2 linked regions of the Arabidopsis thaliana genome follow. The protein of the gene in region 2 purifies or fractionates together with the protein of the main gene of each other region. This does not show direct contact. Each region holds a gene or a part of one and is shown on either strand. Other genes may lie near its edges.

Region 1 (6,412 bases), on a different chromosome or scaffold from region 2:
TCCAGCTGGATGCATTGATGGGGTCACTAAACCGTAAAGGAGAGAGGGAACTGTCATTATATACACAACTAGAGATATTCTATGACAGAATATGGTCAGTTTATAGCTTCCCATTTCTATTTTGCATAATCTGCAGTATTTATTATTCTGGTAACTTGTTCTACCCTCACTTTAATGCACATGTAGAAGAGTAACACCACATTTATCGAAGTCCCCTTGTTTATGTGTAATGGCTTTAAAACCTGGCGATGACTTGTGATTTGCAGCTCTACACTACAAAAGAGGACGAAGGACATTGCTCACAACATAGAAATGGAAGAAGCAGTGGTTAGGAGATCTACCCGTGTAAGAGCTCCACTACATGAAAATCCAGCTAGTGCCTTCTTGAGATATGTTAACAAGTGGAAAGAGGACTAAACGTAGCAGAATTCAATTCTGTATAGGAAAAGCTTGTAGTTGCAGTTGCAGCCATAGCCAAAACTTACCATTTTCAGCTTGTCTTCTCTGTTTTTTCTTTGGCTCCTTTAGGGTTTAGTAGAGCTTTTTACAAGTTACAACAAAAAGGCATTAGTCTTATGGTATGGTGAAGGCAACGCTTGAGTAGAAAGATGGTGTTGGGTTTTGTTTTGTTTTTCTGTTACCATTCATCATCACCTTCTTTTCAGTACTCTATGATACCGAGGTACCATTTATTTTTTATTTTTTCCGGGGAAATTAGAAGTTTTATTACTATTCCTAAAATGTTTCATTGCAGATTTGCATCTATGTCTGATTTTGGTTGGTGGCTATATTTCTAAGCTTTGTTACAGAAGACTTAGATTAATTAGGCTAAAACCTTTTGACTTATTTTTGTTTTCAGTGCGGTTTGATAAATTTGATGGCATGTCATCTTTGTTTTAGCTCCAAAATAAACATTTAGGACCATCGTTGTACCCTTGTTTTTTGTTTTAAAAAAATCAAAACATGAATTTGGTAGTTCGACATTTGAATCTATACAGTATACAACTACTCGGAGAAGAAAGTCAGTTCTCATTTTCAAATCCAGGTAATTACACCCACACCTGTGGGCTGTAAGACAGAATTTACAATGTTGAACAGCCTAGCTATGATTCAGAAGCAAACCAAGGACTACAAGTCAGGTTTAGTTTTCAGCCAAAAAGCCAATCGGAACTCTTTCTTTTTGGGTAACAAATTCGGTTCGGTAAGATGAACCGATTAGATAATTTTTTGGAAGAGATGAACCGATCAGTTAACCAAAGAAATTTCTATTTTTTCTGAATTTTTTATTTTCGGATTTTTGGGCTCCGAAACAAACCGGATCTTGACAAATTAGTAAATTACCAAATGAAATTCTTAAGAAGGTAACTTTTACCAAAATGCCAAACTTCAAAAAAGCAATAAAGTTCAACACAAACAATACCATTAGGCAAAGAAAGAGAAAATCTAGCGGGAACGATAATTTCTCTTTGCAGGTTTCTTGTCAAAACCTGGAGCGACTCTAATACCAGGAACGTTTTTGAGACCCATCTTGCCAAGAATATTTACAGGGATAGCCGGAGGGATGCTAAGTCCCATACTGCGGCTAAACTCATTAGCTAACTCCACCAGTCTGGTCGTGTCTCTAGCAATCTTCTTCTGCGATTTGTAGTAACCCAACCATGCCTGATATGCCGCCTCCTTGTTCGTCATTTCCACTTGGATAAGCCCTTTCTGCACCTGATTTTAACATGTTTTCAACACCCATCAATGCTCACTCGAGTTACATACTCTTAAGAAAAATTTGGCTTCTAACGTAAAAGAGGTTAGTTTCGTGAGATGTGAAAATCTTATTCCTTTGCATACATATTCCAATACAGTTTATATAACATTCTGGTTGTTCTGGTTTGCTACTTGCTAGCGAATAGAATTTACGAAAGGCTTGCTAAGTTCAATAGAGTCACAAATTCAGGCTAAGTTTACAGTAGTAGTATTTGAAAAATCTTACCTTTTTCACAGCCTCATGGTCTATTGGCGGTAAAGAAGACTTTGTGATGGGCAAGTCCTTAACAGAAGATAGAAAGTACTCTTCCCACGGTGCCAACAATAGTACACCTTCTCCTTCCTTACCTTTCCGCCCAGTTCTGCCAAGTCTATGTATATATTGTTCCCTGTCTGATGGCAATCCCATCTGCAAAAGCAACATACACACAACAACAACTTCGGTAAAAAAAAACAATCAACTTTGTAGATACTGTTCAATTCCATGATTGAAAACTACTACATGATTTACCTGTACGACTAAGGACACATCAGGGTAATCAACACCACGAGCAGATACATCAGATGTCACAAGGATAATACTCTTGGACTTGCGGAACTCATCAGAAACTCTGGTTCTGTAACTCTGCGGTTTTCTAGAATGGATCTCTCTGACGTTAAGGCTTAGCTTACCAAGCAGATCAGCCACCAATCTTGTAACCATAGCAGTTGTACAGAAAATAATAACCTGCAACAGCAAGGAGATCATGTTAATCCAGAATTACAGTGGTGATTAACAAAGGCATTGGAGGAACAATATACCTTATAGCCCACATTATCTGTGATGTGTTTTTTCAGAAGACCATATAGAAGCGAGAAATGTCTATCTAATGATGCAATCATGTACATTTGTGAAACCTGGGAGATAAAACAGACATGAGAAACCATTAGCATCCAATCATATGGCAGGCCATTGGTTCAAATGAACTTAAAAAGCAATCTTTTACCTTTTGATGCGTCTCCCCAGCACCCTCTTGAACACAGTTGACGAATTCATGATCCCGTTTCAGAGCAACATGGCATATTTGGCGGACCTTGATAGCAAAAAAACACAGTTCAAGATTCCAACCCAAAAGTGAAAGCCTTTGTGCAAGAAACTGACACTTACCTCATCAGATACTGTGGCGGAAAATAAAAATGTTTGTCTCTGCTTAGGAACAGCAGCAATTATCCTCTCAATTTCCCTTCGGAAACCCATGTCCAAGAGATGATCAGCTTCATCAAGCACAAGGACTTTCACACCCATCAACCTTGTTGCAAATCCAGAAGTGTTGTCGATATGGTCTTTGAGCCTTCCGGGTGTAGCCACGAGAATCTGAGAGTGTGAAAATATGTTATTATTCAAAAATATACAGAGACAAAGATCACCATCTCTGCAGCCACTTTGACTGCAGGGAAGACAAATAATGCAAAAAAATCTAAATGCATAATGAGGCTTAGATCAAAGAACATATCCTGTGACTGAAAAACAATCCTAACTTGGACAGGGAAATCCATTTCTTTTTAAAAAACAATCTATCTTAATTCATATTCTTAGAAATTCAAATCATGAGTCCATATTGTTCTAGCGAAGGATAACCAACTCAGTTTGAAAAGAAATATATGCAACTCTATTGGTCAGATAACAAGTTTCATCTGAGAAGTCCAGCTCAATGGAAATGCATGATTTGCTCAGAAATAAGTTTACATATTAATACAAATGAAAATTTACCTGGCAAGGACTCTTTTGCAAGCGCCTTTGCTCCGTAGGAAGCTTAGTGCCTCCAATCACAACTTGAACACCAATAGATGGGTGATACTTGAGCAAGATGTTTGCTTCTGCAGCAGCTTGACAAGCAAGTTCCCGAGTAGGACATACCACAAGCACAATAATTGGGGGATGCCTATTATCACGGCTTGCAGGAGGAGCTTTGATAACAGCTTCAATTGATGGAAGCTTGGAAAAAGAAACATCAACATTAATAACAAACCCCAATTAATCAAACTGATTGTAATCCTAAATGACCAACATGAACCCAAAAAGGGTATCTCACCAAAAATGCAACTGTTTTCCCAGTGCCTGTTTTGGCCTTCGCAAGGATATCTTTACCTGGAAAACCAAGGAAGAATAATTAATAGAGGAATAGTCAAGCTTCAAAATGTTTAAGTCATGACAAAACATAAGGAATCATGAAGAAAGATGCAAAAGTTTCTGCCTTTTAGGCAAGTTCACCTTGGAGAATGAGAGGAAGAGTAGCCTCCTGAACAACAGTCATTGTCTTAAATCCAGCATCCTCAATTCCTTTTAACGTTAAGGGAGACAGTGGGAACTGATCAAATCTGTAAGAACCATTTTACCATAAAGAGAAATCTGAATCAAACACCACTAAGAATAGCTCTGAAGCTATCTCCGAAAGAAACGCAAAAAATGTACCTTGTCTTTGACAAATAAGAATCTGAAGTTTTAGCAATTTGAGTCACTAGAGGCGTAGTAGAAGCTGGTTTCTTAATAAGAGGCTCATCAACATCAGATTTGCCTTCTCTTCCCCTCTTTAGACTCTTATTGTTGTCCTTGACTAGCTTTCCCGAGCCATCTTCGTCACTCGTCAACTTCTTCACAAGTTTAGCACGAATCTCTCGTCTCTTCTTACCGGATTTGGGTCCATCGGAATTCATGCCAACGAGTGGAGAAAAGACGGAAGAGAACGGTGAAGCGTATGCCTTTAACTGTAAGGCTCTGCAACTACCAAATTCCCGCCGTCGGTTATTTTAGGGTTTAAAAGGTTTTGTAGGAAACACAATTTAGGGCTTAAGGGTACAGATGCGAGTGGCCCAAAATGTCAACAAATATACAAAACGGCATGTAGTTGCTCCCTTTGCTTTGAAACGTGTTGTTTTATATCAGAAAAAAGTTTTGTTAAATCTTCAAACACGTATAATCCAACTTAATACTTTTTTTGTTTTTTTAGTGAAAATCGAAATACTCATGTTAACAAGCCATTACAAACAAAAGACCTTTATAAGAAGGCAACTTTTATAGGATTTTTTAGTTAGGAAGTCTTAAGAGTGTAGCAAGAATGACAAGAGACTACACGTCTACACTTACAAAACATTAAAGTTTTAAAACCAAAGCAGATCACTAGGAAAAAAGAAAATCTACTTGGTTCTAAGACCAGGAACGTTTTTGAGACCCATCTTGCCAAGAACATTTTTGGGGATAGCTGGTGGGCTGTCAAGTCCCATGCTGCGGCTAAACTCATTGGCCAGCTCCACCAGTCTGGTCGTGTCTCTTGCAATCATCTTCTGAGATTTGTAGTAACCCAACCACGCCTGATACGCCGCCTCCTTGTTCTTCATTTCCACTTGGCTCAGCCCTTTCTGCACCTGAATTCAACAAGTTTATTATACCCAGCAATACTCACTCATACTCACACCCTTCAAAAATCATAGCTTTTAACTTCAAAGAGTTGTGTTATGAGATTCAGGTTCAGTTTCAAGTTCCCTACTCATTCTGGATTGCCAGCAAATATGAGTTAAGAAAGGCTTGCCAAGTTCAGTAGAATCACAAATTCATGTGAGTGCGCTTATATGAAAATGCTTACCCTTTTCACAGCCTCTGGGTCTATTGGCGGTAGTGGAGACTTGGTGATGGGCAAGTCTTTAACAGATGACATAAAGTACTCTTCCCATGGTGCCAACAATAAGACTCCTTCCCCTTCCTTCCCTTTCCGCCCGGTTCTGCCAAGTCTATGTATATACTGCTCCCTGTCTGATGGCAATCCCATCTGCAAAAGCAAACAACTTCAGTTAAACAAAAGAGATAAAATTTGTAGTCGCAGAACAATTCCATGTCAGAAAACTATGGTTACCTGTACGACCAATGACACATCAGGGTAATCCACACCACGAGCAGATACATCAGATGTGACTAGGATAATAGCCTTGGACTTGCGGAACTCATCAGAAACTCTGGTTCTGTAACTCTGCGGTTTTCTAGAATGGATCTCTCTGACGTTCAGGCTTAGCTGACTAAGCAGATCAGCCACCAATCTTGTCACCATAGCAGTTGTACAGAAAATGATAACCTACAACAGCAACGAAATCGGGATAGTTCAGAAATACAGACATTGGTTATTCATAATGGCACTAGAGAGATAATGTTACCTTATAGTCCACATTATCTGCGATGTGTTCTTTAAGAAGCACATGTAGAAGCGAAAAATGTCTATCCAGTGATGCAATCATGTACATTTGTGTGACCTGGAGATAAAACAAACATAAGAAACTGATAACATCCAATCATATGGCAGGCCATTCACTCAAATTAAGCTAAAGAGAAATCTTTTACCTTTTGATGTGTCTCCCCAGAGCCCTCTTGGACACAATTGATGAACTCATGATCCCGTTTCAGAGCAACATGGCATATTTGGCGGACCTTGACACCAAAAAACACAGTTCAAGATTCCAACCCAAAAAATGAGAGCCTTTGTACTAGAAAGTGACAGTAACCTCTTCAGGTACGGTGGCAGAAAATAAAAATGTTTGTCTCTGCTTAGGAACAGCGGCAATTATCCTCTCAATGTCCCTTCGGAAACCCATGTCCAAGAGATGATCAGCTTCGTCAAGCACAAGGACT
Region 2 (5,484 bases):
TATCTAACCATAGATATGGGATTATATTAGTCAATACATTATTAGTCAACACATTGATTTCACAAAATCTTGTTTTTGACCACAAAATCTTTGTGAAGATAATACTGCAGATACATTCAAAAACTTCCCATAATTCAAAATATGATAAATGTGCGTTATTAGTTATTACACAAAAATTCAAATATGAGTCATCTGTGTTGGATTTAGGCATTTAGCTTATTAAAAACTTTTCTTTCCAAACTCATTGTGTTTTGTGTATCGTTCACGGAGTAATTATGAAGAAACTAGAGAAGTTTTGAAGCACTAAACAAAGCTAAACATCAAAATATTTCTTTTTCTTTTAATGATAGAAGGTACCCAAGCTAATCTCTAACCATAAAAGAAGATGTTTATTGATATCAAAATCAATCATTATTAACCATAGAACGACAAGACGATAATGACCACCATTACATGGTTGAAACATCAAATTTTTAACAGCTAGACATTTCATAATGCAAGATGTTCCATCAAGCACAAGATCATACCACTCGACCTTTCCCCATATTTCTCCTCCTTCGCGCCTTTCGAGGGCAATCTCTGCACACCAAATTTCTGTTGTCTCGCTCATTTTCTCTATTTTATGCAAAAACACAACTAATTTTCTACCATAACTTGTTGTGAATGATCGTGGACCGTCCAAACGTAGTTTTAATTCCACACCGTTCACCACTTCCCAAATCCTCTCTTTCGGGTCATACGCTCTTATACAATTCATGTGATTATCATAGTAGTACAATACATCGTCTATAACACATGAACTAGCTAGACCATTTTTCAGAGTGCAACTAAAAATATAAATATGTAGGAACAAGTTAATCCAATGAGATCTTATTATGGAATGAAGTCTTGGGTAAGTAATTTGTTATTGGGTGATTTTGAACGATTGTAAAGTGTTATTAAGTTATACCAACCCATCTATTTACCATGTTTTTGCCAAAAGATATATGTGTTGTCAAAAATATATAGATTATGTAAGTTTAACAAAGTCAATAAACTTTATATATTTTGCCAAGTTGCCTAATTAATTTTGATTCATCTTTCAATTGAAGATATATAATGATGATAAATGATAGGAGATCTACTAAATTTTAACTGATCTTACAGAAAGTTTTTTCCTAAAATCAATTATACAATAATGACAAACTTACGTACAAAGATGACTGTTCGTACTCGTAGGTCGAAATCATAGATAACATTTTTATATATGGCATCAGAGGTTTCGTACAAAATGAACAAATGTACAGTATAATTATGAAAGAAAATTATTGTACTAGTTGCTCAACACTTGTCAATACTTGTTCTGATATGATGGTGTTGGAGATAAATTTGGTCATTTCGATTCCTAATGAATTAATATATAGGCTAATATATCAACGGTTGTGTTCATTAACATCCACATAACATATTCAGAGTCTCTTTTATTTAGCAAACTATTTTTTTCTTTTTTCTTTTGGGGTCACGAAGATAAGGAATTAACAAGAAAAACCTAATATGTAAACGTCACCACTTTTTATTTAAGAAGCAAATTAGAAAGATTAACACTACCAGAAAAGCCCATACAAAGAAACCAAGCTGATACATATTCAACACAATCATTGATTAATAAAAGTTTAAGTAGCTCTTATAACACCATCTCATTTGGGGCAGGTAGGTTCGAATGCGAATGGACCAACGTTGTACACACTGTACTTGAACCATCTCATGATGGTCGAGGAAAATCCTGGTTTCAAGACCGGCTTTAGAACGGAGCCCTTGCCTCCATCGTGGAGTGACGACACTTTGCTGCACTTGGTGTCTGGAGACTTCACGAGGAAAGCTCGACAACCTTTGATATCGTAGTTGGTCACCGTCTTAGGGGCCAGGAGCATGAAGTATCCGTTCTTGTCCGTCTTTGTCTCCGATATTGAGTTCTTCTTGTTCTTGCACACAAGTCTCACCACCGCATCTGTATCCCCAGATAACACAAACGAAATAAAAAGTGAAAATATAGTACTTGGATAGATTTGTTATACAGAAATTGTTTTAAAATAATGCAAGAGCATGTATTTGTTTAGATTAGTTATGGTAAATTTACCCTCTTTTTTTAAGAAGGGGCATGACTTGAACAAGATTTTCTTACTAGTTGAGCTAAATTTGGTATTATAGGAAACTTGGGGAAAACAATGACAAGGCTTCGCTACAGTAGATTGTCTTAACCAAAAACCTATTGATTATAATTAAATTAAATTCAAAAGCATTGAAAGAAGTTACTTAGTTTTCCATGGTATATTTTATGTTTATCAATTCGTGAAGGGACCAGAATGATACGACCGGCTCTGAACTAATCTCGCTTGGTAGCATATAGTTAAAAGTTTACACAAAAAGTTTTGAACAACCGACAATGAGATTATGATACATATAACATATGCCTAAAATAAATGTAAAGGATGAAGTATGCATGCAGCATACCTTTAGCAAAAAAAAAGTATGAATGCATGGGATTGAAGTGTGGACTTTTCACATACGGACATACCACGGTCCACAGGTGCGTATATTAAGGGTTCGAGTGATTTTTAGGATAATATATAGACTTTCATATCATGAATGTATATAAGTGAGTACCTTTAACGGGTTTAGCGCCTTGGACGTTGTTGACGCCCGCGTACTTGCAAGCTTTGCAGTAGACCACACCTCTAACTGCCACTAGGGTCTTGTTGTACTTAGGAGGGTAAACTGGTGGGAGAACAGGAGGTTTGATCGGTGGGAGAGTTGGTAACTTAATCGGAGCTTTGGCTGGTGGGAGAGTTGGTAGCTTGATCGGAGCTTTGGCTGGTGGGTAGGCTGGTAGTTTGATGGGAGCTTTGGCCGGTGGAAGAGTTGGTAGTTTGATTGGAGGTAGGGGAAGGTGTTGGGGAAGGCTATGGAAGGGATCTGATGAACCAGGTTGATTCACTCCTAAGGTGAAAACAGAGGAAGTGAAGCACAAAAGTGCAAAGAGAGTTAGAGAAACACTCTTACCAATGATTCCCATCTTTGTTCTTTTGTTTTTCTTTGTGTGTGTGACTTTGGGTTGATGTGACTTGGGTGTATTTATAGGAGATATCGGGCTACAATTTTTTATACTTCATATAGATACTAGAGAGTAGAGGCATACACAGCACATGTACACAACTGGCGAGAAGTTTCCGATCGATGTAGTCCCGTTAAAGATTTAGATTTAGATCTCCTAACAGGTTTGAATACTTGAAGCAAGAAACTCGATATTGATTTGTAGTACAGTCACTTCCCGGGTTTTTTTAATAGAATAAATGAAAACTTCGTCAACCTACCTGAAGTTTATTTTTTCTGATGAAAAGATAATAATTAACGAATGCATCACAGCTGAATTCAATACAGTGTTTAGTCATATATATGTTAATATTCAACAAATTAATGTTATGATTTGAAAGTTTTATGAGAAAATTATAGTCATGTATATGTGAATTTCTTATAGTTTGTGAATTTAATGAGAGTTAGTAAAAAAAAATATAGATATAATTTTACAAATTCTATTGGACAATATGTAAATTTACAGTGTAACTTTCAATGCAAATATCTGGGATATAGATAGTATTAGTGCATGAGTTTTCATTCATGTTCCATGTTTTGTGGTCCTTAACATGGGCATGGCAACAAGATGCGCCTGGTGCGGCTTCAACACATTACAACACATTTAAAAGTTCAATTAATATCCACACTTCTGTTTCTATTTATTTGGGTTTCCAATTTGATTAAATTAGCAAAACGGTGCCTATAAAATTATTCTTAGATCAGGATAAGATAAAATACGTTAAAAAGTCAACTAGATTTTAATGAAACTGGTAAAACAATGCCCGTGTAATTATTCTTAAATCAGGAAAATAACTATTAAAAATTGATGTTAATTAATAGTGGAAACTCTTTTGGTCTAGTGTTTTACAAAAAAGATTTATACTTTCATCGTTTCACGTCATGCATAAGATTTCATTTCCTAAACTATACAATGCCTTGGAGATTATAAGTGCAATTCTTTTGGAGGTTCTGAATAAAGCTATGTGAGATCAAATACTTTTTGAAAAATTCCAAGCTTCGCAAACGTATGGTATAGCGTCACATGTAATATTTAGAGTGTTGAACCACAGAACTTTGATAAAACGTTAAATGGTACGGTGATATGTATTTAGTTTTTAGGATTGGTATTAACCTAAACCAAAAAAATAAAAATAAAGCGTGAAGATATACATAAACGTAAACACAATGGCCTTAAGCTTTGAGAGAAGAGGTAAGACAGATATACGCTAGAGTAAACCATAAACTAGGCCTAGGGGTGAAAGTTTCTAACTTTCTATACTTCAATGATCAATCTCAAGATAACAATGAGATCGACATGCAATAATTTGAGTTAATTTGGGTTTGAGTTGAAGGAAGTTTTCATACGCATTTTTAAGCCATGAGGCCCAATGATGTTTTGACAAAAAAATAGAGGCCCATGATGTATCAAGTCTCATATTTCATTTGGGTTAAAAATTGATGTAAATAGAAGTAACAGTGACTTTTGTTACCCACAATTTGAAGAATTATATGCATAGAATAATTTTTTATTTTTATAATAGTAATTATGTTAGCCATAACTTAAAGAAGAAAAAAAAATCAAAAAAGAAAACGAAAATAGTGAGAGTACGTGATCAGCTACGACGGCATCCACAATACGTAAGTGGGCTATATATTATTGTGAAGTGTGAAGTCTTCTAACAAACAAACAGAATTTCAAAATTCAAATTCAAATCCAAATCACACGAGCGAGAGAGAGCAGATAATCGCCACTCGCCAGAGCTATTGATTTCGCTTCATCGAATCTCACACTCTCTAAGTTTCGTCTGCAATGTCGTCTACCAGAAGAGGCACTAAGAGAACTCGGCCAGAGCCGCCGCAATCGCTCAAGAAGCCAACACCGAAAGCAAAACTCCCGGACGAATTGGATGTCGATGTTTCTAGGTCCGTTCTCGTGTTTTCTTTTGCTTCGTCTTCTTCTTTTTCTTCGTTTCTTCTGTTTTTTTGCTGAAATGTGACTCGCGATTGTGTTTCCGTGTTGATCGTGTAGCGATTTCAAAGGAATCATGTCGGCGTTGCAGCAATTCAGAGAGAAAGCGCACGAAGATGGCCGTAAGAAGAAGGAAGAAAGCATTTCCAGGTCATATATCTCTCCGTTACATGTTTCTCTCTGATTAGGTTATGTAAACTTCGATTTCATCATTCACTATGCAGTTATCGAGATATTCATGTCGATCGCTCATGTGCATTTGTTGATGGAGCGTTTCTTCTAATTGTTATCGTTGGTACATGAATTAGATCTGGATCTTGTATCGCAAATCAATTTATCAAGTAGATATAGCTAGATGAAGCTAAGGTGTTTGATCATTTGTTCTAGCATTTGATATTGGTTGA

Evidence for each region.
Region 1: the proteins of AGP30 (region 2) and STRS2 fractionate together in Arabidopsis thaliana (co-fractionation; one large-scale study listed by BioGRID). This does not show direct contact.

Annotation. Positions count from the first base shown.
Region 1 is NC_003076.8:2,792,580-2,798,991, reverse strand, and holds STRS2 (DEA(D/H)-box RNA helicase family protein), read right to left. Parts: upstream 4,605-6,412; 5' UTR 4,453-4,604; coding exon 4,211-4,452; intron 4,117-4,210; coding exon 4,010-4,116; intron 3,887-4,009; coding exon 3,831-3,886; intron 3,734-3,830; coding exon 3,509-3,733; intron 3,113-3,508; coding exon 2,906-3,112; intron 2,832-2,905; coding exon 2,745-2,831; intron 2,656-2,744; coding exon 2,560-2,655; intron 2,486-2,559; coding exon 2,270-2,485; intron 2,168-2,269; coding exon 1,985-2,167; intron 1,717-1,984; coding exon 1,444-1,716; 3' UTR 1,232-1,443; downstream 1-1,231. Other genes in the region: AT5G08630 (DDT domain-containing protein), read left to right, coding at 6-94, 267-417; PDE340 (P-loop containing nucleoside triphosphate hydrolases superfamily protein), read right to left, coding at 4,933-5,160, 5,379-5,561, 5,646-5,861, 5,941-6,036, 6,125-6,211, 6,286-6,412.
Region 2 is NC_003071.7:14,292,186-14,297,669, forward strand, and holds AGP30 (arabinogalactan protein 30), read right to left. Parts: upstream 3,169-5,484; 5' UTR 3,053-3,168; coding exon 2,644-3,052; intron 1,988-2,643; coding exon 1,677-1,987; 3' UTR 1,376-1,676; downstream 1-1,375. Other genes in the region: AT2G33793 (DNA ligase-like protein), read left to right, coding at 4,922-5,034, 5,141-5,230. UniProt on the Arabidopsis thaliana protein: Proteoglycan required for the timing of seed germination. May function in the abscisic acid (ABA) response.